Anolis sagrei: one gene and its partners. The protein of the gene in region 3 purifies or fractionates together with the protein of the main gene of each other region. This does not show direct contact. Links are inferred from orthologs where the notes say so. Each region holds a gene or a part of one and is shown on either strand. Other genes may lie near its edges.

What was found.
Region 1: the proteins of RBX1 (region 3) and FBXO42 purify together in Homo sapiens (affinity purification with mass spectrometry; 4 studies listed by BioGRID and IntAct, with this or other methods). This does not show direct contact. The link is inferred for Anolis sagrei from reciprocal best matches to the Homo sapiens genes RBX1 and FBXO42.
Region 2: the proteins of RBX1 (region 3) and FBXO11 purify together in Homo sapiens (co-immunoprecipitation; 4 studies listed by BioGRID and IntAct, with this or other methods). This does not show direct contact. The link is inferred for Anolis sagrei from reciprocal best matches to the Homo sapiens genes RBX1 and FBXO11.
Region 4: the proteins of RBX1 (region 3) and FBXO7 purify together in Homo sapiens (affinity purification with mass spectrometry; 5 studies listed by BioGRID and IntAct, with this or other methods). This does not show direct contact. The link is inferred for Anolis sagrei from reciprocal best matches to the Homo sapiens genes RBX1 and FBXO7.

Annotation. Positions count from the first base shown.
Region 1 is NC_090033.1:7,742,574-7,750,380, forward strand, and holds the start of FBXO42 (F-box only protein 42), read right to left. Parts: upstream 3,048-7,807; 5' UTR 2,874-3,047; intron 1-2,873. Other genes in the region: SZRD1 (SUZ RNA-binding domain-containing), read left to right, coding at 4,627-4,677, 4,835-4,884, 7,455-7,748. UniProt on the Homo sapiens protein: Substrate-recognition component of some SCF (SKP1-CUL1-F-box protein)-type E3 ubiquitin ligase complex. Specifically recognizes p53/TP53, promoting its ubiquitination and degradation.
Region 2 is NC_090021.1:20,873,964-20,881,790, reverse strand, and holds the start of FBXO11 (F-box only protein 11), read right to left. Parts: upstream 3,015-7,827; 5' UTR 2,774-3,014; coding exon 2,530-2,773; intron 1-2,529. UniProt on the Homo sapiens protein: Substrate recognition component of a SCF (SKP1-CUL1-F-box protein) E3 ubiquitin-protein ligase complex which mediates the ubiquitination and subsequent proteasomal degradation of target proteins, such as DTL/CDT2, BCL6, SNAI1 and PRDM1/BLIMP1.
Region 3 is NC_090025.1:161,877,911-161,886,021, forward strand, and holds the start of RBX1 (E3 ubiquitin-protein ligase RBX1), read right to left. Parts: upstream 3,012-8,111; 5' UTR 2,975-3,011; coding exon 2,897-2,974; intron 1,336-2,896; coding exon 1,257-1,335; intron 149-1,256; coding exon 78-148; intron 1-77. UniProt on the Homo sapiens protein: E3 ubiquitin ligase component of multiple cullin-RING-based E3 ubiquitin-protein ligase (CRLs) complexes which mediate the ubiquitination and subsequent proteasomal degradation of target proteins, including proteins involved in cell cycle progression, signal transduction, transcription and transcription-coupled nucleotide excision repair.
Region 4 is NC_090025.1:168,878,443-168,885,509, forward strand, and holds the start of FBXO7 (F-box only protein 7), read right to left. Parts: upstream 3,100-7,067; 5' UTR 2,905-3,099; coding exon 2,783-2,904; intron 1-2,782. UniProt on the Homo sapiens protein: Substrate recognition component of a SCF (SKP1-CUL1-F-box protein) E3 ubiquitin-protein ligase complex which mediates the ubiquitination and subsequent proteasomal degradation of target proteins and plays a role in several biological processes such as cell cycle, cell proliferation, or maintenance of chromosome stability.

The DNA of each region.
Region 1 (7,807 bases), on a different chromosome or scaffold from region 3:
AAGGAGGGTTCCCAGAGGAGCCCACCTGCAGTTGCAGAGTTCAACAAAAGTCTGTTTACAAATCAGAGCCAAGCAGGAGAAGCACAAAGTCCTCCTGACACAGATGGTTATCCAACTGTTGTAGATCAGCTACCAGAGGCTGGTGGTATAACTGATGATTTAGAGAGGATTGTGAGCTTTCCTGTGGCACAAAGCGATGGGCTCTCAAACCCGGGAAATGATGGTTCTCTCTGTGAGAAACCTGGCTCGGAAAGTGCAGGGCCTCAAGGGCATGCATTCAGGGGAGTCAGAAGTAGCAACAGCTGATAAGGGATCGAGTGAAAAGCTGAGTGACAAGGAGGGTTCCCAGAGGAGCCCACCTGCAGCTGAAGAGTTCAACAAAAGTCTGTTTACAAATCAGAGCCAAGCAGGAGAAGCACAAAGTCCTCCTGACACAGATGGTTACCCAACCATTGTAGATCAGCCACCAGAGGCTGGTGGTATAACTGATGATTTAGAGAGGATTGTGAGCTTTCCTGTGGCACAAAGTGATGGGCTCTCAAGTCTGAGAAATGATTTTATTTATTTATTTATTTATTTGTTTTTACGGTATTTGTATACCGCTTTTCTCACTCCGAGGGGGACTCAAAGCAGTTTACACATAAGTAATGGCAAAATTCAATGCCAGTACAAACAATTATAATTCTGTGAGAAAACTGGCTCGGAAAGTGCAGGGCCTCAGGGTCATTCATTCAGAGGAGTCAGAAGTAGCAACAGCAGATAAGGAATTGAGTGAAGAACTGAGCGATAAAGAGGGTTCCTAGGGGAACCCACCTGTAACTATGGAGATCAACAAAAGTCTTTGTTTACAAATCAGAGCCAAGCAGGAAAAGAACAAAGCCCTCCTGACAGATAGCTGCCCAACTATTATAGATAGGCCACCAGAGGCTGGTGGTTTCACTGATGACTTAGAGAGAATTTTGGGCTTTCCCGTGGCACAAAGCGATGGGCTCTCAAGTCTGGGAAATTCAAGTATAGGAAATGATGGTTCTCTTTATGGATAAACTAGCTCAGAAAGTGCAGGGCTTCAAGGGCATTCATTCAGAGGAGTCAGAAGTGGCAACATCAGATAAGGAATTGAGTGAAGAACTGAGCGATAAGGAGGGTTCCCAGGGAAACCCACCTGTAACTATGGAGATCAACAAAAGTCTGTTTACAAATCAGAGCCAAGCAAGAAAGGAACAAAGCCCTCCTGACAGATACCTTTCCAACTGTTATAGATCAGCCACCAGAAGCTGGTGGTTTCACTGATGATTTAGAGAGGATTTGGGGCTTTCCCGTGGCACAAAGCGATGGGCTCTCAAGTCTGGGAAATTCAAGTCTAGGAAATGAGGATAAGGGCATTCATTCAGGGGAGTCAGAAGTAGCAACAGCAGATAAGGGATCGAGTGAAAAGCTGAGCGATAAGGAAGGTTCCCATGGGAAACTATCTGTACTTACAGAGATCGTTTACAAATCACAGCTGAAAATAGACTGTGCCATTCAGAGAGAGTGCGTGGAAAAGTTGAGAAGGAAATTCACGGGAAACGGAATAATTTCATGGGTGTCGATTAAGCTGACTCTGGAAGAGCAGGGGCCTCGAGGGCGTTCACTCCGAGGAGTCAGAAATAGCAAGAGCTAAAAAGGAGTCGAGTGAAGATGAAAAGGAAATTAACGGGAAACGGAATGATTTCATGGGTGTCGATTAAACTGACTCTGGAAGTGCAGGGGCCTTGAGGGCATTCATTCCAAGGAGTCAGAAATAGCAACAGCTAATAAAGAGTCGAGTAAAGATGAGAAGGAAATTCACGGGAAATGGAATATTTTCATGGGTGTCAATTAAACTGACTCTGGAAGAGCAGGGGCCTCGAGGGCGTTCATTCCGAGGAGTCAGAGATAGCAAGAGCTAAAAAGGAGTCGAGTGAAAATGAGAAGGAAATTAACGGGAAACGGAATGATTTCATGGGTGTCGATTAAACTGACTCTGGAAGAGCAGGGGCCTCGAGGGCGTTTATTCCGAGGAGTCAGAAATAGCAACAACTAATAAAGAGTCGAGTGAAGAGCTGAGCGATAAGGAGCGAGGGAGATTGTAGCAAGGGAGATTGTTTACAAATCAGAATCCAAAACAGATTGCGTTGTACAGAGAGATTACGTGGAAACGTTGTGATGGAAGTTCACGGAAAACGGAATGATTTCATGGGTGTCTATTAAACAAGACATCGTTGACGCTATGGGCTGTTAGGAATCGGGAGTCTAAAACACCTGGATTCTCCCGACAGCAGGTCTGAATTTTTAGCAAGCATGGGCCAACTTCGGCCTTCCCTCCAGGTGTTTTGGACTTCAACTCCCACAATTCCTAACAGCCGGTAGGCTGTTAGGAATTGTGGGAGTTGAAGTCCAAAACACCTGGAGGGAAGGCCGAAGTTGGCCCATGCCTGATCTATAGGATGTTGGTTGGGAGCCCAAATCACCAGGCCTGGATCTATTCTATAGACTGTTAGGAATGCTGGGAGTTGGAGTCCAAAACACCTGGAGGGAAGGCCGAAGTTGGCCCATTCCTGATCTATAGGATGTTGGTTGGGAGCCCAAAACACCAGGCCTGGATCTATTCTATAGACTGTTGGGAATGCTGGGAGTTGGAGTCCAAAACACAGGAAGGCCCAGGCCTACTGTCTGGAGAGGCGGGACAGGCCTCAGGGACTCCAACTCCCAGAATGCCCGGCCGTGGTCCCAACCGGCGGGGGCTGCTGGGAGTTGTAGTCCAGAGGCCTGGGCGCCTCTCAGCGGGGCGCTCCGTTTCTGCCACATCACGAGAGGGCGGGGCCAGGGGCCGGAAGGGGGGCTGCTGGCCTCACCTGCCGCTTCCGCGCTCCCTCTCCCTCCTCAGAGCCGCCTTCGGTTCCTCCGGGCCGGGCGCCCACAGCAGCGCCAGCCGCCTTCTCGGGGTTCCCCCGCCTGAGCCCTCCCGGCCACCGTCTCCGCCGCCATCGCTCGGCTCAGGGGCGGGGACGAGGCCAACGCGCAGGCGCCTCCCGCCGTCACGTGGGGCCTGCGCGGGCGCCATCTTGGTTGCCCCCTCGTCAGGGCGGCGCCATCTTGGGAAGGATTGTGACGCCATCTTGGCTCCTCCCCCTATCGACCAATACTCAGTTTCGGTGTTTTGGGATACTGCGCATGCGCCACACTGGTGAAGGAATTCAGGTTCTTTCGTGTATCCGATTTTTCCTACTTCGGGATACTGCGCATGCGCCACACTGGTGAAGGAATTCGCGCCACTGCGCACGCGCAAAACCAAAACCGGCCCCTCCCTATATGGAAGCAGCGGAGGCACCTAAAGATACTGCGCATGCGCCACGCCGCTGAATGCATGCCCGCTCTCGGGGTGAATGGCGCCACTGCGCATGCGTGAATTGGCACTTTCTCTACACACGGAGAGTGGAGACACTTTGGGATATGGAAGGAGTCCCTGCTCTCAGAGCGAGGGGCGACACTGCGCACGCGCGAACTCGCGCCTTTCGCGGAGGCACATAGGAATACTGCGCATGCGCCATACAGCTGAAGGAATCACTGCGCACGCGCGAATTCGCACCTTTCTACATTGAGACATATAGAAATACTGCGCATATGTCACACAGCTGAAGGAATCCCTGCTCGCACAGCGAGAGGTAACACTGCGCACGCGCGAACTCGCACCGTTCGCAGAGGCTCATAGGGATACTGCGCATGCGCCGTACAGCTGAAGGCATCCCTGCGACACTGCGCACGCGCGAACTCGCACCTTTCTACAGTGAGACATATAGGGATACTGCGCATGCGTCACACAGCTAAAGGAATCCCTCTCAGAGCGAGGAACGACACTGCGCACGCGCGAACTCGCACCTTTCCATATTGAGACATATAGGGATATTGCGCATGCGTCACACAGCTAAAGGAATCCCTCTCAGAGCGAGGAGCGACCCTGCGCACGCGCGAACTCGCACCTTTCTATATTGAGACAGATAGGGATAGTGCGCATGCGTCACACAGCTGGAGGAATCCTTGCTTTGAGCGAGGGGCGACACTGCGCACGCGGGAACTCGCACCTTTCTACATTGAGACATATAGAGATATTGCGCATGCGTCACACAGCTGAAGGAATCCCTGCTCTGAGCGAGGGGCGACACTGCGCACGCGCGACCTCGCACCTTTCTACATTGAGACATTGAGAAGGAATCCCTGCGCTGAGCGAGGGGCGACACTGCGCACGCGCGAACCCCCACCTTTCCACATGCAGGCACATGTGGATACTGCGCATGCGCCACACGGCTGAAGGGATTGCCCGAGCTCTCAGGGGCGCCACTGCGCACGCGCACACGGGCACCTTTCCCTACATGGGGCGGAGCGAGGAAGGGCACGGCTCCAACCGCGCATGCTCCGCCCGACGAAAAGGGTAGGAGCCCGGGAAGCCGCGCATGCGCTCTTGTTCGGGGGGCGGCGAGCGAGGAGCCTCAGCGGCGGCGAGGGCGAGGGGCAAAAAGAAGGGAAGGGGAGCGAGGGAAGGAAGGAAGGAAGGGGCGGCTTAGCGCGCATGCGCCTCGAGCGGGCTGGCGGCGGCGGAGGGGCCTGACGATGGAAGATGAGGAGGTCGCGGAGAGCTGGGAGGAGGCGGCCGACAGCGGGGTGAGGAGGAGGAGGCGCAGGCTTCGGGGCGCCTGCTAGGCCTCTTAAAGGGGCCGCGCCCTCCCACGTGCGCTTGCCTGCCTGCCTTCAAGGGGGAGGAGGCCTGGCTTCCTTCGTTGAGGGGGGTCTCCTCAAACGCCCCTTTTTTGCCTTGCAGGAAATAGACAGGCGGCTGGAGAAGAAGCTGAAGATCAGCCAGAAGGAGAGGTGAGGAGTTCCCTTTGTTTGGACCCCCTCCCTCTGGGCGTTTTGGACTCCCACAATTCCTAACAGCCGGTAGGCTGTTAGGAATTGTGGGAGTTGGAGTCCAAAACGCCCGGAGGGAGGGCCCAAGTTGGCCAAGGCCTGCTCTACATTTGATGTATTTACTAGCTTGCTATCCATTATTGGTATTATGATTATTATAGATTATATTATCTATTATTATTATACTATATTTATATCCCACTTTATCTCTCCCAAAGGAGACTCAGAGTGGCTATGTATCCATTACTGCTATTAGAATTATATATTATATTATTATCTATTATTATAATATTATTTTATTTATTTATACCCCACTTTATCTCTCCCGAAGAAGACTCAAAGTGTCTATGTATCCATTACTGCTATTACAATATATTAGAATTATATATTATATTATTATATTATCTATTATAATGGTATTATTGTTATATTTATTTATACCTCACTTTATCTCTCCCCAAGGAGTGTCTATGTATCCATTATTGCTATTACAATATATTAGAGTTATATATTATGTTATTATATTATCTATTATAATGCTATTATTATTGTATTTATTTATACCTCTCCCAAAGGAGAATCAAAGCCATGTATCCATTATTAGTATTGCAATGCATTATTATTATCTATTATATTATCTATTGTTATACTTATTTATAATATTATAATATTTATTTATATCCCACTTTATCTCTCCTGAAGGAGACTCAGAGTGTCTATCCATTATTGCTATTACAATATATTATAATTATATATTATATTATTATGTTGTATATTATTATAATGCTATTATTATTGTATTTATTTATACCCCACTTTATCTCTTCCGAAGGAGACTCAGAGTGCCTATGTATCCATTATTGGTATTACAATATATTACAATTATATGTTGTGTTATTATGTTATCTATTATTATTGTATTTATTTATACCCCACTTTATCTCTCCCCAAGGAGAATCAAAGCCATGTATCCATTATTAGTATTGCAATACATTATTATTATCTATTATATTTATGGTTATATTTATTTATCATATTATTGTATTTATTTATATCCCACTTTATCTCTCCTGAAGGAGACTCAGAGTGGCTATGTATCCATTATTGCTATTACAATATATTATAATTATATACTGTGTTATTATGTCATCTATTAAATTCTTCTTCTTCTTCTTCTTCTTCTTCTTCTTATTATTATTATTATTATTATTGTATTTATTTATACCCCACTTTATCTCTTCCGAAAGGAGACTCAGAGTGTCTATGTATCCATTATTGCTATTATAATATATTATAATTATATATTATATTATTATGTTGTCTATTATAATATTATAATTTTATTTATTTATTTATTTAAAACGTTTATACCCCACTTTATTTTTTCCAAAGGAGACTCAGAGTGGCTATGTATCCATTATTGGTATTACAATATATTACCATTATATATTATGTTATCTATTATTATAATATTATTATTATTATTGAATTTATTTATTCCCCACTTTATCTCTCCCGAAGGAGACTCAAAGTGGAAGTGTATCCATTATTGCTATTAAATATTTTGCTAAACGTCGCCGCATTGCCCACTGCCCACAAACATACATACATATTTATTTATTATTTATTTACCGTATTTGTATACCACCAATTGGCGACTCAAGGCGGTTTCTAACAAATCAGTATACATAAAACGTAATAGATAAAAAACATTAAACAGTATAAAACGTCATAAAAGCAACATCATCAGCGTCTCATTATTCTCAAGCATTGTCCAATTCCATTGTCAGGTCATTCGATTTCCTATATTAGCTACTCTGTATTTGTAAACGCTTGCTCGAATAGCCATGTTTTAACTTGCCTCCGAAACGTCAAGAGGGAGGGAGCAGATCTGATTTCCCTAGGGAGGGCATTCCATAGCTGAGGGTCCACCACTAAGAAGGTCCTGTCTCTCACCCCCGCCAAACATGCTTGTGACAAAGGTGGGACCGAGAGCAGGGCCTCTCCAGATGATCTTAAAGTCCTAAGTGGTTCATAAGGGGAGATACGTTTGGACAGGTAAGTTGGGCCAGAACCGTTTAGGGCTTTATAGGCCAAAGCCAGCACTTTGAATTGGGCCCAGTAGCAAACTGGCAGCCAGTGGAGCTGGCGCAACAAACATTCACTTTTATTACGACTGGCTTGTTAAGAATGGTGGGAGTTGCAGTCCAAAACACCTGGAGGGAAGGCTGAAGTTGGCCCATGCCTGCTCTAAACCCTTTGTCCTTTGGTTGTGCCTATTGTAATTCTATATTGCTATGTTTTCACATGCTTTGTGTAATTATGTTGTTGTTATTGTTTGCATTTTCAGTTTTATTTTATTGTAATTTGCGGTTTGGGCTTGGCCTCATATAAGCCGCTCCGAGTCCCCATCGGGGAGATGGTGGCGGGGTATAAATAAAGATTATTATTATTATTATTTATTTGCTGCTTCCTTCCTGTCCTAGCACGTCGTTGTCGTCCTGACTGGCTCAGTCTATTTCTTTCCGCAGCCGGAAGCCGCGCTCCCCGCCGAAGGCCCCCCCAGTGGTGCTGCAGGACGAGGGCCTTCCCTTGGCGGGGCCCCCTCCCCAGATCCGCATCCTGAAGCGTCCCACCAGCAACGGGGTCTTGGGCAGCCCTCGCACCGCCAGCCGGCCCGCCTTCCCCGTCAAGTCCCTGGCCCAGAGGGAGGCCGAGTACGCCGAGGCTCGCAAGCGCATCCTGGGCAGTGCCAGCCCCGAGGAGGAGGAGGAGGACGACGAGGAGCAGCAGCAGCGCGGGCCCGACAAGCCCCTCCTCGACAGGTGAGGCAAGCACATTGGCCTTTGCGGATGCTGCGGTTCTGTTTAGGACAACCATACAG
Region 2 (7,827 bases), on a different chromosome or scaffold from region 3:
CTTCCACACAGCCCTATATCCCAGAATATCAAGGAAGAAAATCTGGGTTATCGGAGTCCACACTGCCACATATCCCAGTTCAAAGCAGAAAATGTGGGATTTTATTCTGCTCTGTGGAAGGGGCCTCAATGTTAGAGATAAATGTGGGATGAAGAAAAATAATAGCAGAAAGCAGAAAATGTGGGATTTTATTCTGCTCTGTGGAAGGGGCCTCAATGTTAGAGATAAATGTGGGATGAAGAAAAATAATAGCAGAAAGCAGAATATGTGGGATTTTACTCTGCTCTGTGGAAGGGGCCTCAATGTTAGAGATAAATGTGGGATGAAGAAAAATAATAGCGGAAAGCAGAAAATGTGGGATTTAATTCTGCTCTATGGAAGGGGCCTCAATGTTAGAGATAAATGTGGGATGAAGGAAAATAATAGCAGAAAGCAGAAAATGTGGGATTTTATTCAGCAGTGTGAGGAAATGTAGGATTTTGTTCAGCAGTCCACACTCAGATAATATGAGATTTTCTGCCTTGATATTCTGGGATATAAGGCTGTGTGGAAGGATATAGGGCTAGGTTGTTGTAGGATTTTTCGGGCAATATAGCCATGTTCTAGAGTCATTCTCTAGAACATGGCCTGTGTGGGCTATGTGGAAGGGCCCTGGATTATATGGCTGTGTTGATAGTGTTTGACATCTCTGTGAAATTGAGCAGTACAATATGTCTATAGAACTGCTTGTTGAATTCCATTTTTGTTTTGATATTCTTCTAAAAACACTGTACCAAAATTTACACAATATTGTTTGACATCACTGTGAAATTGAACAGTACAACATGTCTATATAACTGCTTGTTGAATTCGATTATTGTTTACTCTATATATAAGTGGTATTTTTGTTGTATGTGTGGAAGAGGCCTCAATGTTAGAGATAAATGTGGGATGATGAAAAATAATAGCAGAAAGCAGAAAATGTGGGGTTTTATTCTGCTCTGTAAGGGGCCTCAATGTTAGAGATAAATGTGGGATGAAGAAAAATAATAGCAGAAATCAGAAAATGTGGGGTTTTATTCAGCAGTGTGGGAAAATGTGGGATTTTGTTCAGCAGTCCACTCAGATAATATGGGATTTTCTGCCTTGATATTCTGGGATATAGGGCTGTGTGAACTCAGATAATCCAATTAGATGCAGAAGTTGCAGGATTTTCTGCCTTGATATTGGGGGGGGGGGGGGCTTCCACACAGGCCTATATCCCAGAATATCAAGGCAGAAAATCTCAGAATATCTGCTTTGAACTGGGATAACAGAGTCCACACTGGCACATATCCCAGTTCAAAACAGAAAATGTGGGATATTATTCAGCAGTGTGGGAAAATGTGAGATTTTGTTCAGCAATCCACAGATAATATGGGATTTTCTGTCTTGATATTCTGGAATATAGGGCTGTGTGGAAAGATGGGCTGTGTGGAAGGGCCCTGGATTATATGGCTGTGTGGAAGGGGCCTCAATGTTAGAGATAGATGTGGGATGAAGAAAAATAATAGCAGAAAGCAGAAAAATGTGGGATTTTAATGTGCTCTATGGAAGGGGCCTCAATGTTAGAGATAAATGTGGGATGAAGAAAAATAATAGCAGAAAGCAGAAAATGTGGGATTTTATTCATCAGTGTGGGAAAATGTGGGATTTTGTTCAGCAGTCCACACTCAGATAATATGGGATTTTCTGCCTTGATATTCTGGGACATAAGGCTGTGTGGAAGGATATAGGGCTGGGTTGTTGTAGGATTTTTCGGGCTATATGGCCATGTTCTAGAGGCATTGAGCATATTACTGGTATTTTTACATTTCCATCATTATTATATTTATATTATTATGATTATTACATTTATTATTTTACTCTATTATTACTGGAAGGCTACGTAAGCACATTTACATTGAAGAAGGTTAGAGTAATGGTTTAATCAGAGTTGGGCAGTCTTATCTTAAATTACAGTTTTATGTAAACATTTAACCTACTGATGCCTCAATTAATGTAATTTTATTGGTATCTATTTTTATTTTGAAATTTACCAGTAGATGCTGCATTCCCCATCCTCTGCTTATACTCAAGTCTCTAGAACATGTCCTGTGTGGGCTGTGTGGAAGGGCCCTGAATTATATGGCTGTGTGGAAGGGGCCTCAATATTAGATAAATGCATGATATTTTTTAAAAAATAGTAATAATCAACCTGGGCCTCGTACCTCTCTCCACAGGGAACCAAGGGGGGGGGGGGGGCGCTATGGCCTCCACAAAACCCCCGAAGCCTCTCCAGAGAGGGACGCACAACCAGCCCATCAAAACCCCCCATAGCTACCCAGCAAACCAAACAAAGCGCGGCCTGCGGACGGAGGTGAAATACAGCCCACAATTTAATGGAGAGGGGGGGGAGGAGAGAGATGAGGGGACCCCACCCGTTTTCCTTCCTCCCCTCCCTCCCTTTTCAGTCCTTTCCTCCCCCCTCCCCTCTCTCTCTGTTTCGATCCTCCATTTTCTCCTTCTTACCCCGTTCCCCTGCTGCGGCAGCGTTGTTGTTGTTGTTCCTCTCCGGGGGCGGCGGTGGAGGAGGAGGGGGCGGCAGTTGCAAGGGCTGGGGTTGCTGCTGTTGTTGCTGCGGAGGCGGTTGTTGCTGGGCCTGAGGCGGCGGCGGTGGGGGAGGCGGCGGCGGGGGAGGCGGCGGAGGCTGCTGCACCGGGCGCGGCCTGGACACTCGCCGGGGTCTCCTGTTGGCGGCCCGCACCGAGTTCATTTGCCGGCCTGGGCGGGGGGAGGAGAGGGGGCCGCTCCTCCGGAAACCGGGACTGTTCGGGGAGGGAGAGAGGGAAGGAAGGAGAGAGAAGGCCCCAGGAAAGAAAGGAAGGCCTCCTCCTTCTCCTCAGCTTCCTCCTCTTTCCTCCCTCCTCCTCCTTCTCCTCAGTGGCGGTTGATGAAGGGGACGCTCGCGCCGTCGCCTCGCGCACACGCGGCGGCGCGCGCTGCTCCTCTCCCCTCCCCCCCTCCCCGGCCCCCCCGCCTTGCCGCTGCCGCCTCTTCTCCTTCGCTCGAGGGAGTCAACCCTTCTTCTTCTTTCTCCTTCCTCCTCCTCTCGGCTTAAACCCGTCGCCGCCGCCACCACCACCGCTCTGTGGCAGGAGGAGCCATTGACGCTGCCAGGGAGGGAGGGAAGGAGGGAGGGAAAGAAGCGCCCCTCCTCATACACACATACACACACACACACAGAAGGAGATTTGAGTGTACGTTTTCGTCCCCTCACGACGTGAGCCAATCCCAGCCTCCGTCACGGAAACGGGCGAGGCGACTCCGCCAATCGCGGCGCGGCTTGCATTCTTGAGGCCGCGCTCGCGCACTCTCCTCGCGCACTCTTTCTCTCCCTCGTTCCCCCCTCCCTCTCTCTCACACTCTTTCTCCCTCCCCCCCCCTTCCTCTCGCTCTCACTCCTGCCCTCTCACGACGAAACGCCCGGCTCGTCCAATCTTGGTTTCCGTCACGAAAAAGGAGAGTCGCCTCAACCAATAGGGTCTCCGCTTGCACTACAGGACACTCCCTCCCCTTTCCCCTGTGTCTCCTTCACTCAAGATGGGTGCTCGGCTCGTCCAATCCTGGTTTCTGTCACGAAAGGGGAGAGGCGCCTCAACCAATAACGTCAAAGCTTACATTATACTCCGCGCTCTGGCACACACTCCCTCCCTTTCTCTGTGTCTCCTTCACTCTTTCTCTCTCCCTCGTTCCCCCCTCCCTCTCTCTCACGACGAAACGCCCGGCTCGTCCAATCTTGGTTCCCGTCACGGAAAGGGAGAGTCGCCTCCACCAATAGGGTCTCGGCTTGCAATACAGGACACTCCCTCCCCTTTCCCCTGTGTCGCCTTCACTCAAGACTCGTCCAATCCTGGTTTCGGTCACGAAAGGGGAGAGGCGCCTCAACCAATAGCGTCGAGGTTTGCATTATACTCCGCGCTGTGGCACACACTCCCTCCCTTTCCCTGTGTCTCCTTCACTCAAGATGGGTGCTCGGCTCATCCAATCCTGGTTTCCGTCACGGAAGGGGCGAAGCGTCTCAACCAATAAAGTCGAGGCTTGCATTACAGGACACTCCCTTTCCCCTGTGTCTCCTTCACTCAAGACGGGTGCTCGGCTCGTCCAATCCTGGTTTCTGTCACGAAAGGGGAGAGTCACCTCCACCAATAAGGTCTCGGTTTGCATTACAGAACACTCCCTCCCCTTTCCCCTGTGTCTCCTTCACTCAAGACGGACGCCCGGCTCGTCCAATCCTGGTTTCTGTCACGAAAGGGGAGAGGCGCCTCAACCAATAGCGTTGAGGCTTGCATTATACTCCTCGCTGTGGCACTCCCTCCCTTTCCCTGTGTCTTCTTCACTCACGACCAACGCTTGGCTCGTCCAATCCGAGCCTCCGTCACGGAAGGGACGAGTCCCTCGACCAATAGCGACGAGGCTTGCATTTATAAGCCGTCCAAAGGGCGGTTGCGTCGTGAGGAGGTGGAGAAAAAGAGAATGAAGGGAAGGAGGGGAAGAGAGAAAGGAAAGTGAGGCAGGAGGGTTGTGGGAGGGGAGAGAGAGGAGGAGGAGGCCGCAGGAAGAGAGAGAGAGATGCATAGAACACGAACTGAGGGGAGAGCATTAAGACGTCGTAGAAGAAGATGGAGTCTGTTGAGGAGGCCTTTAGGCCTCACCTCAGAAAGAAAGGAATTCAGGGAGTAGATCATTCAATGAGCCAGTCAGAAAGTAAGGGTGAGAATCTGAGACTCAGAAACCTGGCATGGACGCCTTTATTTTCCCCCCTCAGAAGTTCCAAGATCTGCCTGTATATTTGGGGTAGAGGTCATTGTATATTTGGGGTAGATAAGATAAGGAGAAAGGAGGGGAAAGGGGACATAGGTATTTGTTGTCAGGGACAGAAATAGTAAAGGGAGACACACATTACCTACTTCCAGGCACAAAACCATCCAGATGCAGGCGAAACGTCAGGAGAGAATGCTTCTAGAACATTGAAGCTTTGGAAGCTTTTAAACAGAGGCTGGATGGCCATCTGTCAGGGGTGATTTGAATGCAATATTCCTGCTCCTTGGCAGGGGGTTGGACTGGATGGCCCATGAGGTCTCTTCCAACTCTTTGATTCTATGATTCTAAGGCCATACAGCCTGTAAAGCCTACAACAACCCAATCCAGGTCTTCTGAAGGAAAGAAGCTAGTCTGACCACTTGCCACTTACCTTGCTGGAAAAGTCTGAAGAAAAGATGCCAAAAAGAGTAGGCATGAAACAGGTATTGTGTATATCTAGTCTGCGCCTTTTTGACATACTTGGGCCTCCCTCAGTGTTTCTTGCTGTAGTTTTGCGGTTATTTATTTATTTCGTATTAAAAGCATTGCATAAATTAGGTTCTTGTGGGTTTTTTCGGGCTATAGAGCCATGTTCTAGAGGCATTTCTCCTGACGTTTCGAAATGCCTCTAGAACATGGCTCTATAGCCCGAAAAAACCCACATGAACCTAGTGATTCCAGCCATGAAAGCCTTCGACAATACATTGCATAAATTAGTATAAAACTGATAAAAATAGAAGATGCACAGGTGGCTAAATATAATTTGACCAAAAACGGGCAACAGCAACGGCATTGTCTGTAGAGAATTTTGAGGACCGAGACATCCGTAGGGAGACCAAGGTGCTTGTTTATAAAGCTATTGTCCTCCCAACCCAGCTATATGGCTGCGAAACGTGGACTGTCTACAGACGTCGCATGCAACTCCTGGAACGATTCCATCAGCATTGCCTCTGGAAAATCCTGCAAATCTCTTGGGAAGACAAGCGGACAAATGTCAGTGTGCTTGAAGAAGCAAAGACCACCAGCACTGAAGCTATGGTCCTCCGCCATCAACTCCGCTGGGCCGGCCACGTTGTCCGGATGCCTGACCACTGTCTCCCAAAGCAGTTGCTCTACTCCGAACTCAAGAACGGAATACGGAATGTTGGTGGACAGGAAAAGAGATTTAAAGATGGGCTCAAAGCCAACCTTAAAAACTTTGGCATAGACACTGAGAACTGGGAAGCCCTGACCCTTGAGCACTCCAGCTGGAGGTCAGCTGTGACCAGCAGTGCTGCAAAATTTGAAGAGGCACAAATGAAGGGTGAAAGAGAGAAACGTGCCAAGAGGAAGGCGCATCAAGCCAATCCCGACCGAGACTGCCTTCCACCTGGAAACCAATGCCCTCACTGCGGAAGAAGATGCAGGTCAATAATAGGGCTCCACAGTCACCTACAGATCCACAAGAATACTGATCCTGCAAGACTATCCTACTCAGCCAACGAGGGATCGCCTAAGTAAATAAGTGTCTGTAGCCTCCAACAATTCCTCCTCTGTACACGAGGCAGGGGCACAGTGGACAAGCATACAGATGCGGAGTTTTCTGTTCTGCTCCACAATTATACAAGGTTTGGAATTCTTCTAGGTAGTGCCATTTTGCCAGGTTTCCTTTTGATCTGCCCACTCCGCTATTCAGGGACTTCCAAGTTGCCCGTTCTTGGTTTGCCTCTGGAGGAAGACCCTCGCAAGGTGGCCATCCAGTTGGGATTTCCCGGTTTAGCTGCCTATAGGGAGTCCCTTGCTGTTGCTGGAGGGACACCAAGAGGAGTGGTAGTTATAAAGCTTTTCCTTGATTTGAGTCTACAGGGAGGAGACTGGTAGCCATGTGTTGGATGGCTTTCATAGTGTCCAACCTTATTTCTCTCACATTTAGCAGCAACTTCCCGTTGCACATGGGGGGGGGGGCAATGCCAGCTAGCTTGTGGAGTTAATCAACAGGTGTAGGTTTAAGACATTTTGGGGTTTTCTTCTTGCCTTTTCTGTTGTTGTGGGAATATTTATGCTGTTCTGTTGCCTTTCCAGCTGCCCTTTTTTGGACATGGATGGACATAGTGATGTGCTTTGCGTGAATAAAGGGGTCGCATTCGGTGCCTGTTCAGAAACGTCAGAGTACAACGTATACAATTGGTGGATTCCAGGTATTAAAGATGAGCCTGTGCTGCAGATCCAGTTCTTCATTTGCAAGTGGAATTGATACCCTCTTGTGCAGGCCTGGACAGACTTGGATCCTCTGATGCTTTTGTGGGAGTTTTGGACTTCAACACCCACTATATTTGGAGTTAAAGTCCAAAACACCCAGAGGGCCCAAGTTGGCCCAGGCCTGCTCTATAGTATTCTTGGGCCAGGAGTCCTTCATTTTAGTAAAGGTTCGTTATTATCCACAGTTCTGCATTTCCACACAAATTCAGGGAACATATCTCCCATGGATATGGGGGTTGCACAGTAATTGTCATTTGAGTACTAGGAGGCACAGTGGATTAAACTGCTTAACTGATTAACTTGCTGATCGAAAGGTGAGCGGTTCAGATCTGGGGAGCTGGGTGAGCTCCCTCTGTTAGCCCCAGTTTCTGTCAACCTAGCAGTTTGAAGAAATGCAAATGTGAGTAGATCAACAGGTATTGCTTCGGCAGGAAGATAAACAGCGCTCCATGCAGTCATGCCGGCCACATGACCTAGGAGGCGTCTACGGGCAACACCAGCTCTTCAGCTTAGAAATGGAGAGTCAGACACGACTAGACTTAATGTCAAGGGGAAACCTTTACCTTTACAGTTTTACATTTCTTCAATGTAACAAACAAATCCATTGTTTTTTATTATTATACTTATTGTTTTTACTCCTCTGTCCATGTTTTTTATTTAAAGCCTGTTGCTTTTGTCTCTATGTATAACACATTGAAAACTTGTTGAAAAGCAGAATATAATTAAATA
Region 3 (8,111 bases):
ATCTTCATAACAAAACCATTTATGGTTCTTTCCCACAAATTTTGATGTTTGTACGAACTGAAAAGTAGACATCTTACATTACAGACACCCCACGCAACAGTGCATTCTTCAGAGGTAGCTGATGCTTGGTTAGCTTGACATTCTATGCCTGGAAGAACAAGATTAAATAGAAACATTGATTATTACTGAAACGATAACTGGTGATGAAATATCCACATTTTCTGTTAAATATAGATGTTTCGAGATAACAAAAGAGGCAGACACATGATGAAAAACAGAATTAAAGTATCATTAGACCCACTTCCCATTGGATGAGAGGAATCTGGATGTACCATTCACATGTAATCCTAGTTTATTTTTCTAGTTGATTAACTGATAGGTAACAGATTCCAACTATGGATGTACAGTGGGAAGAGGTGATGGAGGAGTACTTAGCACTAAATCCTGCTCTATAAACAAAGGTAGTTATGAAATCTCAAATCAGTCAAACCAGGCCATTGCCTAGAACTGTTTCATTATGCTCTGTACCTTCGAAGTTATCTAGAAATCTGTCTTAATAACACATTATCACACAGGATGGATCTTTTAATCTGATTCTGCATGACAATTTTTACATTAATGATCCCAGATGAAGAAGCAATTTTGTATATTGCAAGAACTGCAATGTAGACATGTAGATACTATCCCAAACAATATAGTTGTACTGAGCAACTACAATTGCAGTCACAATATTACATGAAAGAATGGCAAGTATGACCTCCTAATCCTCAGGTTCTTCATAGGAGGCCAGAAAACTAATTTAAGTTTATATTGCAAATATAGCCATAACTTAATGCACTAATTATTCCTCTGTAACTAAATTACTCCTCTAATCTTATATGTGTAGTTTAACTACACAATTCACCATTTCTTTTCGTTGTCAGAGAAACTGCAAGTCACTTCTGGTGTGAGAGAACTGGATGTTGCCCAGGAGATGCCCGGATGTTTTACCTTCCTGTGGGAGGCTTCTCTCATGTCCCTGCATGGGAAACTGGAGCTGACAGACAGGAGCTCACCCCACTCCCCGGGTTCAAACCATCAGCAGTCCTGTCGGCACAAGGGTTTAACTCATTGCGCCACCAGGGGCTTCTACAATTAATCGTGAATTGTTGAGACTGCTATGAAGTTATGTTTTCATCATCTTGCTCCTTTTTATTGTCATCCTCTGATATCCACAATAACTATATATACAGCACAAATATTCTGGAGGTACTTACACAGATCCATAATGTGGTTTCTGCAAATGGCACAGTTATCAACCACGATGTCCCAAGCCCAGAGTGCAACTGCATTCCACTAAAGAATGAAATTACAATTAATGCAATTTTTCTTTGTTACTTTTTTTTGCATCGCTGTTGAGCCTAGCAAAACACAAAATGAGGCTTCACATGAGTTTGTGAAACCATGGATAATAACAAACCCTGTTGAAATTAAGGACTTTTTTGGCCCAAGAAAACCATGCTAGAGGACCTAGAGAATTCCCAAAGAGAACATTATTTGTCAAATGTGGATAAATTTCCAAATAGCATTCTTATTGATGTAGAAGTTGTACTGTAAACAAGCCAGTTTAACTAATTTTTTTTAATGTGTGTTGTCTTCTTACCTGTCTGAACCTATCTCCCCTTACAAACCACCAAGGACGTTAAGATCATCCAGGGAGGCTCTGTTCTCAGTCCCACCACCTTCGCAGGCATGACAGGTGAAGATGAGAGACTGGCCTTCTCTGTGGTGTCTTCTCAGCTGTGGAACTTCCTCCCCAATGAAGTTAGGTTTGCCCTCTCCCTCCTTACCTTCCATAGAAAACTCAAAACCTGCTGTGGGATCAAGCATTTGAACAATGGCTGGAGCAACTGGGAAGATAACGTTTTACGTGACCACAATGAATGGAACTGGATTATGATTTGCAACTGGCAAAATGTTTTTAAATTAAAGCATCAGAGGATGCTTGCCATAGATAAAGGTGAAACGTCAGGAGAGAATGCCTCTAGAACAGTGGTTCTCAACCTGGAGTCCCCAGATGTTTTTGGCCTTCAACTCCCAGAAATCCTAACAGCTGCTAAACTGGCTGGGATTTCTGGGAGTTGTAGGCCAAAAACATCTGGGGACCCCAGGTTGAGAACCACTGCTCTAGAACATGGCCATATAAGCCTGAAAAAACCTACAACAACCCAATGTTTTTATTCCCGGTAATTGCCATGAACATAAATTCCATATTAACTTGAATTGTTATTTTGAAAAGCTTCCCTATTTTTAAAATTATCTTATCCCAAAAAAGTTGTTGCATTTCTGATTCTCAAGTTTTATTATTCTGCTGATAAAGAAGAATATTTCTGACTTGTGATGAAATATCCACATTTTCTGTCAAATATGGATATTTTCCCATAGTCTGGGAAATACTATACTAGAGAAATCTGTGATTTCCCGCCACATTGCGGTGCATCCCACCTTTGAAAACCAGAGGAGCACAAAGGCTCCCGCTCAAACATGTATCTCAACTGTAAACAAACCTTGGGAAACGAGGGCGCCAATGGAAAGCACTTTCATAGAATCAAAGAGTTGGAAGAGACCTCGTGGGTCATCCAGTCCAACCACCTAAAGAAGCAGGAATATTGCATTTAAATCACCCCTGACAGATGGCCATCCAGCCTCTGTTTAAAAGCTTCCAAAGAAGCTTCCTGTTCGGGTTCTAGGCGAGGTCTGGACCAAAGGAACGCGGCCCACTAAGCCTCCCCATCACTTTTCGCTTTCACCTCACATTCAACATGAAAGATGGTTTCCGGGGGAAAAATAACCCTTCCCCAGGCCCCGCTACGTCCGCCACCTTCTCAACCCCAAGGCCTCGCCTTTTTCCTCTCACCTTCTTCACTTCGAAACGCTTTTTGCCGGCGTTGCTGTTGGTCCCGCTTGGTGTGTCAACATCCATCGCGGCAGCCATTTTGGATACAACTCCCGGCAGACTTTCCAGAACTGCGCATGCGCACGCTCGGTAAAAAAAAAGGAAAAGAAAAAAAGAACAAAATCTCGCGATACTTCCTGAGAAGTTTGTTTATTTATTTATTTATATATATGGATGCCTCACCCCCGCCCCTCCTTACAAACAGGTGTGCGCGAGCGAGGGAGGGAGGGAGCGCGCGCGAGGGTAGGGTGGGGGACCCAAAGGGGGCGGGGCTTGGTCACGTGCCGCCCTTTCCTCTTAAAGGCGCTGCTCAGGGCGGAGGCCTTTCTGCAGGGCCGTGCGGCGTCGTCGTTGTCGTCGTCGTCTTTTTACTGCGCTCCAGTGAAAGGACGGGAGGGAGGGAGGGAGGGGGGGGGGAAAGGGGCGGAGCTCTGAGGAAGGTTATTTAAAGGGATACGCACCAATTACTCTTGTATGAAATGCTGGGGAAACACTTGAAAACACTGTGTCATAGAATATATCCATAGGAATAAACCTTGAGGGCTACACAAAATCCATTTGTGTCGAGAGGAATACATGTCATAATGATTTAGTCAGAATCAGTGTGCCCTCCCCCTCTTAATATGTATGTAAACACACCCTTCAACACCAAATAGCTTTACTTGAAGGCAACCTAAATGCGTGAGCTGTGGCTCTTCCTGGGATTCGTCTCCAGCCTGCTTTCCCTTCTTCCCTCCCATCTTCCTTAATTAGGATGACTAATCCTTGCTAAACCATCGTCGCTCCAGAATCCATTACTGGGCTTTTGTGTGGAGCGCCTCCTTCTCTCTTCCCCCCCCCCCCCCCCAATATCCAGAGCTTTGTCTTAATATTAATTTTATTTCCTCAGGAAAGGCGCATCTGCAGCGCTTAGTGAGGCCAGGACATCCCCTCAAACCAATTCTGTCCAAAGGAAGAGTCTCCATGCCTTGGAACTGGCATTGAGGCGTCAAAGACATACACAGATCCCTAGGCCTTGGGAAGGCCTTGGATTGGGATTCATCAGGCATGGGCCAACTTGGGCCCTCCAGGTGTTTTGGACTTCAACTCCCATCATTCCTAACAGCCTCAGGCCCCTTCCTTTCCCCCCTCAGCCGCTTAAGCGGCTGAGGGGGGAAAGGAAGGGGCCTGAGGCTGTTAGGAATGATGGGAGTTGAAGTCCAAAACACCTGGAGGGCTCAAGTTGGCCCATGCCTGGGATATATAATGTTAGGCGATCCCTCGTAGCTCAAGGATGATGGTCGTCCAGATGTCATGTCTTGGTGGTGGAGCCCTATTCTTGATCATCTTCTCCCACACTAAGGACATAATCTTTTCCAGGTGGAAAGCAGTCCTGGTCAGGGTTGGCTCGACGCGCCTTTTTCTTGGCACGTTTCTCCCTCCGTTCGTGCCTCTTCGAATTCTGCAGCACTGTTGGTTACAGCTGACCTCCAGTTAGAATATATCCATCTTGCCCTTGGTCGGCTCCTCTTCCTTTTTCCTTCCATTTTCCCCAGCATCATTGTCTTTCTAAGCTTTCCTTCTCATGATGTTGCCAAAGTACTTCATCTTTGCCACTACTATCCTTCCCTCCAATGAGCAGTCGGGCTTTATTTCCTGGAGGATGGACTGGTTGGATCTTCTTGCTCAAGGGCCAGTTCTTGGTGTCTATGCCATACTCTACGCCAGTGTTTCTCAACCTGGGGGTCGAGACCCCTGGGGGGGGGGGGGTTGTGAGGGGGTTTCAGAGCGGTCGCCAAAGACTATCAGAAAACTCAATATTGTCTGTTGGTCATGGGGGTTCTGTATGGGAAGTTTGCCCCAATTCTATCATTGGTGGGACACAGACTGTTCTTTGATTGTAGGTGAACTATAAATCCGAGCAACTACAACTCCCAAATGTCAAGGTCTATTTTCCCCAAATTCCATCAGTGTTCACATTTGGGCATATTGAGTATTCGTGTCAAGTTTGGTCCAGATCCATCGTTGTTTGAGTCCACAGTGCTCTCTGGATGTAAGTGAACTACAACTCCCAAACTCAAGGTCAATGCCCACCAAACCCTTCCAGTATTTTCTGTTGATCATGGGAAAATACATCCTGTATATCAGATATTTCCATTTTGATCCATAACAGTAGCAAAATTACAGTTATGAAGTAGCAATGAAAATAATTTTATGGTTGGGGGTCACCACAACATGAGGAACTGTATTAAGGGGTCATGGCATTAGGAGGGTTGAGAAACATTGCTCTATGCTCATCAGAGGGAACCAAACTTCTGAAGGACAAAAAATCAATTGCACTACGTTGGAAAGAACACTACCAAAGCCTCCTGAATCACAGCTCCAATGTGGACGAAGAGGTTCTCTCACAAATCCTGTAACAACAAACCAGGGATGAGCTCGCACTGCCAACTAGTTTGGAAGAAGTCAGCAATGCCATTGTTGTTGTTCATTCATTCAGTCGCTTCCGACTCTTCGTGACCTCATGGACCAGCCCACGCCAGAGCTCCCTGTCGGCCGTCACCACCCCCAACTCCTTCAAGGTCAAGTCAGTCACTTCAAGGATACCATCCATCCATCTTGCCCTTGGTCGGCTCCTCTTCCTTTTTCCTTCCGTTTTCCATAGCATCATTGTCTTCTCTAAGCTTTCCTTCTCATGATGTGGCCAAAGTACTTCATCTTTGCCACTACTATCCTTCCCTCCAATGAGCAGTCGGGCTTTATTTCCTGGAGGATAGACTGGTTGGATCTTCTCGCAGTCCAAGGCACTCTCAGAACTTTCCTCCAACACCACAGTTCAAAAGTATCTATCTTCCATCGCTCAGCCTTCCCTAAGGTCCAGTTCTCACACCCATAGGTGACTGGGGAATACCATTGCTTTTAGTATGCGGGTCTTCATTGCCAGTGTGCTGTCTCCACTCTTCACTATTTTATTGAGATTGGTCATTGTTAGCAATGCCATTAGCCAACAAAACAGTAACAAAGCCAGAAGATATATAGTGCCTCTGTACAAAAAGGGCATCTCAGGTCATGTCTTCAAGGTAGAATTAATGCCTTCAATGCTATGCCATGGTTCAATGCTATAATGTCATCGGAGCTATGGTTAAACAAGATCTTTATAACATTCCCTGCCAAATAGTGTTGGTGTGTGTCACCAAAGGGTCATTCCATGCCAAGTGGTCTAAACCTTCCCACCATCATGTCTCAAATTTTATTCAAATTTTAGCCATAGCACCAGTGAGGGGTTAAAACTTTCCCAAAATTTGAGGTCTCTAACTGCAATAGTTGCTGATCCAGACTCCCTTACCTGAAGGGTCGCCAGTCAGAGTGCGCATGACATTTAAGAAAATGCTATTTTTGGGGTCTAACAAAATTGAAATGAAAGGTATGTATGGCTTGTAAATTGGCTTGTAAATTGAAATCCTGCAGTTTTTGTTCTGCTGAGTTCGATGAAATTAATTTCAGTGTTATGGATGCAAAATCCAGTCAAACAAGTTGACTCAAAGTGTGCATCAAAATGTGTCAAGACTCATTTTGAAAAATTTGGCTTCTTGTGGAAGCAAGGATTGGTGGGAAAGCTTCAGTGAAGACACCTTTTTCCATAAGTTTTTTAGGAGTGAATTTGCCTTCTGAGGGATAGATTTCTCACTTCCTGTTGTCTCACTCCTGTTCTTAACTATGAGTCATTTGTAACTCTGGGACTGCCTGTACTTGCTTTTAAAAACTGCCCTTTAAGCCAAAGTTTCCTAACATCAGTTATCGGTAGGCACAGTAACACACTTACTGTACTATGTTAGCACTGGAAAATAAAAAGGAGTTATGTTTATTTTACAGACTTGACCTACTAACCAGAGGTATTAATGCTACACACGCTTACTTGAAAATTAAGCCTCCATTGAACTCAATGGATTTTTCTCTCTCTCAATATGGGCCTTCATGGTTGACTTCATCCATGCTTTCTCAGCATCTTATCCCAAAGACTGAATGCATAATATGATTCTTCCTTATTAAGATTTCTGTGGAAGATCCATTTCAAAAGCAAGAAATGTCAGTAGTCTATTTTAAAATTGTACAGTAAAAACCTTTTGAAATAAAATGTTTAAAAATATTATGCAAGTTTTAACATATAGGCATTCTGGTCTAATGGTAGGAACACAGAAATCTTAATTAGATTTTAAATCAGTCATCATAAGCCTTTAACAGTGATTTTGATTTAACATTTTTTTCTTCATGTTGCTTTTCAATTTCTTCATGCACTTTCTTCTTAAGTTGCCTTCCAAATGTGGAACAGTTCATAAATATATGTACAGATTAGGCTGCAAATCTATGCATTTACTTGTGAATTAGTCCTATTAAAATCAAGTGAGATTTCTGACTAAAAATGTATTGGATAGTAACTTGCTGCATCTGATATGGTTCTTCTGGCCTCTAACAGCAAGATGTGATGTTACAGCATCAGACAGCAATTTCGGAATTGATTTCTCTCTTTTACCTAGGTTATATGTAACTACCTTGTAGAAACTTTCATTGAAAGGTAGGATAAAAACATTTTAAATAAATCACTATAAATTGGGATTTGGAAAATAGAGAGTAAGGAAACATAGAAGACCAAAGAGGCCCTTCCATATCATTAACCAATGTAAATGTCTACCATGCCTAGATATTGTAAGTTGTTCCAGCAAATTAGTTAATATTCCAGATAGAAGGAAAAACGAGGGCAGTGAAAAAAAACCCAAAAAAACAGAGCAAGAGCTTCACAAAGCCAGCCATATTACACATGTTTTCAACTGCAATCCTGTGTATAAATTCACAAATGGTGTCTTTGTAGCTTCCTTTTCTTCATGTGAGAAGCAAAATGATGGCATCTTGAAGGCACACACACAGAGACAGACATAAGACTGATATGAAAACAACCTGTTTATTCACAGCTCATACTTCTTCTGGAACAGCAGATAGGACTTAAGGGGAAAATAACAAAGTCAGATGCACATGTTTCACAAAGGTTAGAAACAAAACATACCAGTACAATCTTTAACAGTACACTGTCCTGTCCTGCTCTTCTAATGATGAGATGAACACTGCAGATGTCCAATGGGACGTTTAATTTCATCAAGATTTTTTTTTTTTTGCTTTCTCTATTTTGAAAAATGCTTCCTCG
Region 4 (7,067 bases), about 7.0 Mb from region 3:
TTTTCAATTTCATGAGGACCAGGTTCTACAAAGCTCTTTTTTACCAATAGATTACGATTGGTGACTCTTTCTTTATTTTCTGAACATTAAGCAGTTGAGGAGGGACCCATTTCTAGCAAGCCAAAACACAGTATTAAGCTTCTTTAGTGAGCATTGCAGTCACATGACATTATCTCACTTGGTGCAAATGTTTTGGGACTAGACCACAATTATTCCAGCTAACTCCATGAATATTTGGAATAACTGGAATTGAAGATAACTTGGATTCATTTCTTTAATTTTTCTCATAGACTAAATCAGGGTTTTTACTACCTTTTCAACTTTAATACTTTTTTGGAAAACTAGTAGTCCAGGAGAATGCACCTCCTCATTCTGAAACTGAACTGCACTGAACTAGAAACTAAACTCAATCTATTTAAAACCCACGAGGTGTTACATAATCTGCTGAGTCACCAGATTAAACATGTTATCTGTCTAGTCTCTTTGTTCCCAAATCATAGGAATGTGTGACAAAAACATATCATTTATATCCCATGTTTTCCCAAGGAACGTAAGCTGATCCACTCAGATAATTCTCACAATAATCATGTGAGCTATTATGCCATTCACAAATCACTCAATGAGCTTTACAACTCAGGAGGAATATAAAGCCTGCCATATCCTTCAGTGGGAATATCACAGTGTCTCAAACAGAGATATCAAAACTAAAATCCATGGTGCACAAATATTAAATCAAATACTTTCATCAAATACTTATGTTATCAAGAGCTTTTATGTGCTGGAGTGCATGACAAACCTCTTTAAAACATCTAATTTTACTACCACTCCTGGGCACAACACCTATAAGCATATCTTTGGAGGAAATAATCATTCCCCATGTACCCACATTCTTCAATATCCAACAAAATTGAGAGTGCATGTGCCATCAAAATATCAGACACCTCCATGCTCACTCAGCTCACCTCAACACTGTGTAAAGCATTACCTTTAAAATATCACTGGTTCTAAGAAAACAGAAAGCCAATCTGAAAAATTTGAAAAAAATGTGAATGAATTCCTATGCACACTCTGCACATATCTTACTTGTAGTGCAAAAACCACATAAAACAATACAATAATTAAAATGAAGAACAATTTTACCAAATATAAACTAATTAGTATTTCAGTGGGAAGTGTAGGCCTGCTTTTGGCTGATGAGATAGGATTGTTGTTGTGCGCTTTCAGGTCAGTTCAGATTTGGGTTGACCCTGAGCAAGGGCCGGGTAAATTACCTTGGAGGGCCGTATCTGGCCCTTGGACCTTAGTTTGAGGACCCCTGATATAGGTAGTGGGATAATGTGTTTCTGAGGGAGGAGCTCAAAAGAAATGAACAATGGGGCTAGACCTTCATTAAGGGCGGGAGGAAAGTGCATCATGAGGACAGAACTATAGTTGGGAGAGACAAAATATGGAATATATGTTCACTTACCAGGCACATCGTAAGAGCCAAGTTTTAAGTCTACAGTGCAGTACCTGCACCTTTGACTCTGGTGGCCAGAGTTCCAATTCATGCGTGGAAAACCCCCTGGCGACCCTGTCACACACTCTAAACCAGGCATGGGCAAACTTTGGCCCTCCAGGTGTTTTGGACTACAACTCCCACAATTCCTAACAGCCCACTGGCTATTGGGAATTGTGAGAGTTGCAGTCTAAAACACCTGGAGGGCCAAACTTGCCCATGTCAGCTCTAAACCCAGAAAACTTAAGTAACTAATAGTTTAAAGACCCTTTAAAATTACAGCCAAGATTCCATAGCACTTTTTTTTTGTTGTGTCAGGAGCGACGTGTGAAACTGCAAGTCGCTTCTGGTGTGAGAGAATTGGCCCTCTGCAAGGACATTGCCCAGGGGACACCTGGATGTTTTTTTGATGTTTTATCATCCTTGTGGGAGGCTTCTTTCATGTCCCCACATGAGGAGCAGGTACTGATAGAGGGAGTTCATCCATGCTCTCCCCAGATTTGAACCTGCGACGGGTTGGTCTTCAGTCCTGCCGCCACAGGGGTTTAACCCACTGTGCTACTGGGGGCTCCCATAGCACTGCGCCATGACAATCAAAGTGATGTCAAACTTCATTAATGCACTTCAAACGACTTGAAGGCACAGCAAATACAGTGAGAAACTGCTCGAGTCGTTCTCTGGCTGCATCTATACCTGGCATGGGCAAACTTCTTACATATCACCTGTCACATCATCACTTTTAATCCTGTACCCTTCACTCTGGCCCGGCCCAGTTTTATTGTGTTTTGGTGTATTGTTTATTGATTGTTGTTTTGTTGTTTAATATTGCTTTAATTGTTTTTAATTTGCTTTAGGTTTGTATTGTTATGTTGTATTTGAGGCCTTGGCCTTTGTAAGCCGCATCGAGTCCTTTGGGAGATGCTAGCGGGGTGCAAATAAAGTTAATAATAATAATAATAATAATAATAACTTCGGCCCTCCATATGCTTGGACTTCAACTCCAATAGACTGTTAGGAATTGTGGGAATTGAAGTCCAAAACACCTGGAGGGCCGAAGTTGGCTCATGCCTGATTCAGATTGTAGAATGAAAGCACTTTGATCTCACTTTGTCTGCTATGGCTCAATGCTTTGGGATCCTGGGACTTGTAGTTTGGTGAGGGACCAGCACTCTTGGGCTACAAAGACTCAAAGACCTTGTAAAACCAAAGCTCTCAGAATCCCAAGTGGTGTGAAGCATGACCCTCCCACGCCCATCCCGGCCAAGGCCCAGTGCCAGGAGTCACCTGTATCCCCAAGCGGGCAGCAGAGCCTGACCGAGGTGCGCCCGCAGGTCCCCAAGAGTCGGCTCCGCCTCAGGCAACTCCAGCGGGGCCGTTCTCTTCCGCGCCCGGACGCGGAGCTTCATGGCGGCGACTCCCTCGCTTCCTGCCACTGGCTTCCTCGCCTCGCTCAGCGAAGAAGGCGGTGGCGGTTAGCGGAAGCAGCCCCAACTCGCGCGCGGGGCTTCCGGGTGCCTCTGCTATTGTTGTTGTTGTTGTTGGGCTGGGGAAGCCCCGCCTCCTCTTGCGGCATCCGTCCACTCCCGCCGTCCCAGGCGACACCAAGCCCCGCCCCCTTTCGCTTCCCCTCCCTCTCCCGAGCGAGAGCCGAAACAATCCGGAAATAAACGAGGCAGGGCCCTTGGGGCAACGCTCTTGCTGGCTCACTCTCAGCGGGCATGCGCAATGCCTCGAATCTCCGGCGCGCGCAGAATACGATCTTACCGTTGCCGAAAGCCCAGAGTCACGTGATTGTGTCACCGTTTGGATTGGAAGTGGACGAGAGACGAGAGATTGACGAGTCATTGATTTCCCAAACTCTGGCCTCCCAAAAGTTTAGGCGCCCTTCCACACAGTCCTTTATCCCAGAATGTCTGCTTTGAACTGGGTTATCGGAGTCCCCAGGAAATAAAGCCCGGCTGCTCATTGGAGGGAAGGATACTAGAGACAAAGTTGAAGTACTTTGGCCACATCATGAGGAGACAGGAAAGCCTAGAGAAGACAATTATGCTGGGGAAAGTGGAAGGCAAAAGGAAGAGGGGCCGACCAGGGGCAAGATGGATGGATGGCATCCTTGAAGTGACTGGACTGACCTTGAAGGAGCTGGGGGTGGTGACGGCCGACAGGGAGCTCTGGCGTGGGCTGGTCCATGAGGTCACGAAGAGTCGGAGACAACTGAACGAATGAACAACATCGGAGTCCACACTCAGATAATGTGGGATTTCCCTAACCATTGGCCAAGGCAGCTGAGGCTTCTGGAAATTGAAGTCCAAAATGTTTGTGAGGACTAAGGCCCCTTCCATACAGCTGAAAAAAAATCCACATTTTCTGAGGTGATAGTATGATAGCTGGGTCCGGAAGCACCGAGCATTAGGCAAATGTAGTATGTTGTATGTACATATGACTTGTAACTTTTATTTACAGTCCAGCAAGCAGGCCTGGGTCTTTTACTAGTTTTTCCAAAACTCCACTCATAATAGAGGGGACGTAGTTTAAAAAAGGGAATTTTCAGAGATGTTCCCAATGCCCATATATCATGAGTTACTGCCATATTGGCCTATTTCTGCAGTAGGCCTATGTTTACAGAAAATGCTGATTGTTTGAGAAATCAGCACTCCAAAGAAGAAGTTACTATTCAAGGATATCAGTGTTGGGGCAACAAAACCAGAATATTTCCCAAAAAGGCAAAAGCCCCCTTTCCAATAGGGAGGGCAAGGATGGACACCACGAAAGTTGAAGCTTTTAAACTGCAAAAAACCTATTTATTTCGTGGCCATAGCAATAATGACAAACAGGCATACAGGGATGCAATCAAAGGGTTTGTCACAACCCCCAATGGGGCTGTAGAGCATTTATAGTAAATGGAATATACATTTTCATTGGTTCCCAAAGACAAATCATTTCATTGGTCTAAGTTAAGTTAGGGAAGGCTGAGCAAAGGAAGATAGATGCTTTTGAGCTGTGGTGTTGGAGGAAAGTTCTGAGAGTGCCTTGGACTGCGAGAAGATCCAACCAGTCCATCCTCCAGGAAATAAAGCCCGACTGCTCACTGGAGGGAAGGATACTAGAGACAAAGTTGAAGTACTTTGGCCACATCATGAGAAGACAGCAAAGCCTAGAGAAGACAATTATGCTGGGGAAATTGGGAGGTAAAAGGAAGAGGGGCCGACCAAGGGCAAGATGGATGGATGGCATCCTTGAAGTGACTGGACTGACCTTGAAGGAGCTGGGGGTGGTGATGGCCAACAGGGAGCTCTGGCGTGGGCTGGTCCATGAGGACACGAAGAGTCGGAGACGACTGAACGAATGAACAACAACAAAGTTAGCTATACAGTTGTTCATTTGTTGTTTATGATTTTGATTGACATTATAGCACACATGGGATCCTAACAATGGCACAACTTTAACATAACTATAGTCCGTTGTTCTCTGACCATGACTGCATCTTATCTGTAGGTCTGTTGCAAACATGGCTTCAGAGCGACTGAAAAACTTGGGGGTTCTAACTAGCCAACAGCTAGCTGGTTTTGTCCGGATATACTGTTATCCTTGAATAGTAACTTCGTCTTTGGAGCACTGATTTCTCAAACAATCAGCATTTTCTGTGAACATAGGCCTACTGCAGAAATAGGCCTATATGGCAGTAAATCATGACATATGGGCATTGGGGAAATATCTGAAAATTCCCTTTTTAAAACCACGTCCCCTCCAACAGTATATCCGGACGAAACCAGCTAGCTCATGGCTAGTTAGAACCCCCAAGTTTCCCAGTCGCTCTGGAGCCATGTTTGCAACAGACTAACAGATAAGATACAGTCATGGTCAGAAAACAATGGACTATAGTTGTGCCATTGTTAGGATCCCACGTGTGCTATAATGTCAATCAAAATCATAAACAACTAATGAACAACTGCATAGCTAGCTTATACCAATGAAATGATTTGTCTTTGGGAACCAATGAAAATGTATATTCCATTTACTATAAATGTTCTGCAGCCCCATTGGGGGTTGCGACAAACCCTTTGATTGCATCCCCGTATGCTTGTTTGTTGTTATTGCTATGGCCACGCAATAAATAGTTTTTTGCAGTTTAAAAGATTCAACTTTGGTGGTGTCCATCCTTGCCCTCCCTGTTAGAAAGGGGCTTCTGCCTTTTTGGGAAATATTTTGATTTCTTTGCCCCTACAATACAATATCCATTCTTCCATTTATTCCCGCACATCATTATTAAATTCACATTTCTCAAATCTGCAATGATATTTTTATGAGAGGTCCACAGCGCCTGGCAAGCTGTAGAAGCCAATACGAGTTTTTCCCAAATAAATCTCACTAGGATGAAACACATGCCACTGAAGTTTATTTTCTGTTCCAGCTGGAAAAGGATGACAACCACAGTCATCTGCTGAAGAAGCCAGCATACCCAAATACAGAAAAATACACATTTTATACATTTTTTTCCAGTTTGAATTTCCCGCGCCCTGAGCCGGCTTTGCCATGATTGGTCAGGGGAATCCCTGACGTCAGCAGGCCGGGAAGAGCAGCTGGGAGCAGGTGTGTCTCAGCCAATGACAGCCCGAGCCCCGCTTCGGCCTCTCAACCAATTGTGATAGAGAAGGTACAGCAGTAGTAGAAACAAAGATATAGTTGCTTAAATGATCAGATTATGACTGACCCTTCCTGGGTCCATTGATAAAGCAATCTGGGCGATAGCTCATTCATAAGGCAATCTGGGGAAGATGGCGTTGGTTCAGAAGGGATCGGTTAAGCCTTGGATACGGAAATCCAGATGCAACTCAATATCCACATTTTAAAAGATCGCAGTTCCTTGCCTTCCAGGATGCTGCTGGAGCGTCCCAGCCGAGCCTGTGAAGGTTCGCGGCTCGGAAGAGAGAAAGGTTTGAGTCAGAGAAGGACACAATGCATCTTGCAGGGAGCTGGAAGTCAGGAAACGGATACATTTTATTAGGGTCTTCTGTTACAAGGTGGCCAGAGGAGACTGAAAGGGAAGAGAGAGAGAGACTTCTTCTGTTGGAGCTGCAGCTGGTGCAACGCCTCGGTTGAAATTCAGATCAATTCCATGCAGTGGTGAGATCCAGGATCTGCAGAACTTCATGCTGCAACTGGCAGTGGCTAGATCAATTTGAAAGCACCAAATTGAAAGATCAATTTCTTCCAGCTCCACAGTTCAAAAGCATCACTTCACTCAGCCTTCCTTATGGTCCCGCTCTCACATCCATAGATTGCTATGGGGAATACCATTGCTTTAACTATGCGGATCTTTATTGCCAGTGTGATGTTTCTACTCTTCACTATTTTATCAAGATTGATCATTGCTGTCCTCCCAAGAAGTAAATGTCTTCTGATTTCCTGGCTACAGTCATCTTCTGCAGTCATCTTCGCGCCTAGAAACACAAAGTCTGTCACTGCTTCCACGTTTTCTCCCTCTATTTGCCAGTTATCAATCAGTCTGGTTGCCATAAACTTCGGTTTTTTTCTAATGTTTAACTGCAACCCAGCTTTTGCACTTTCT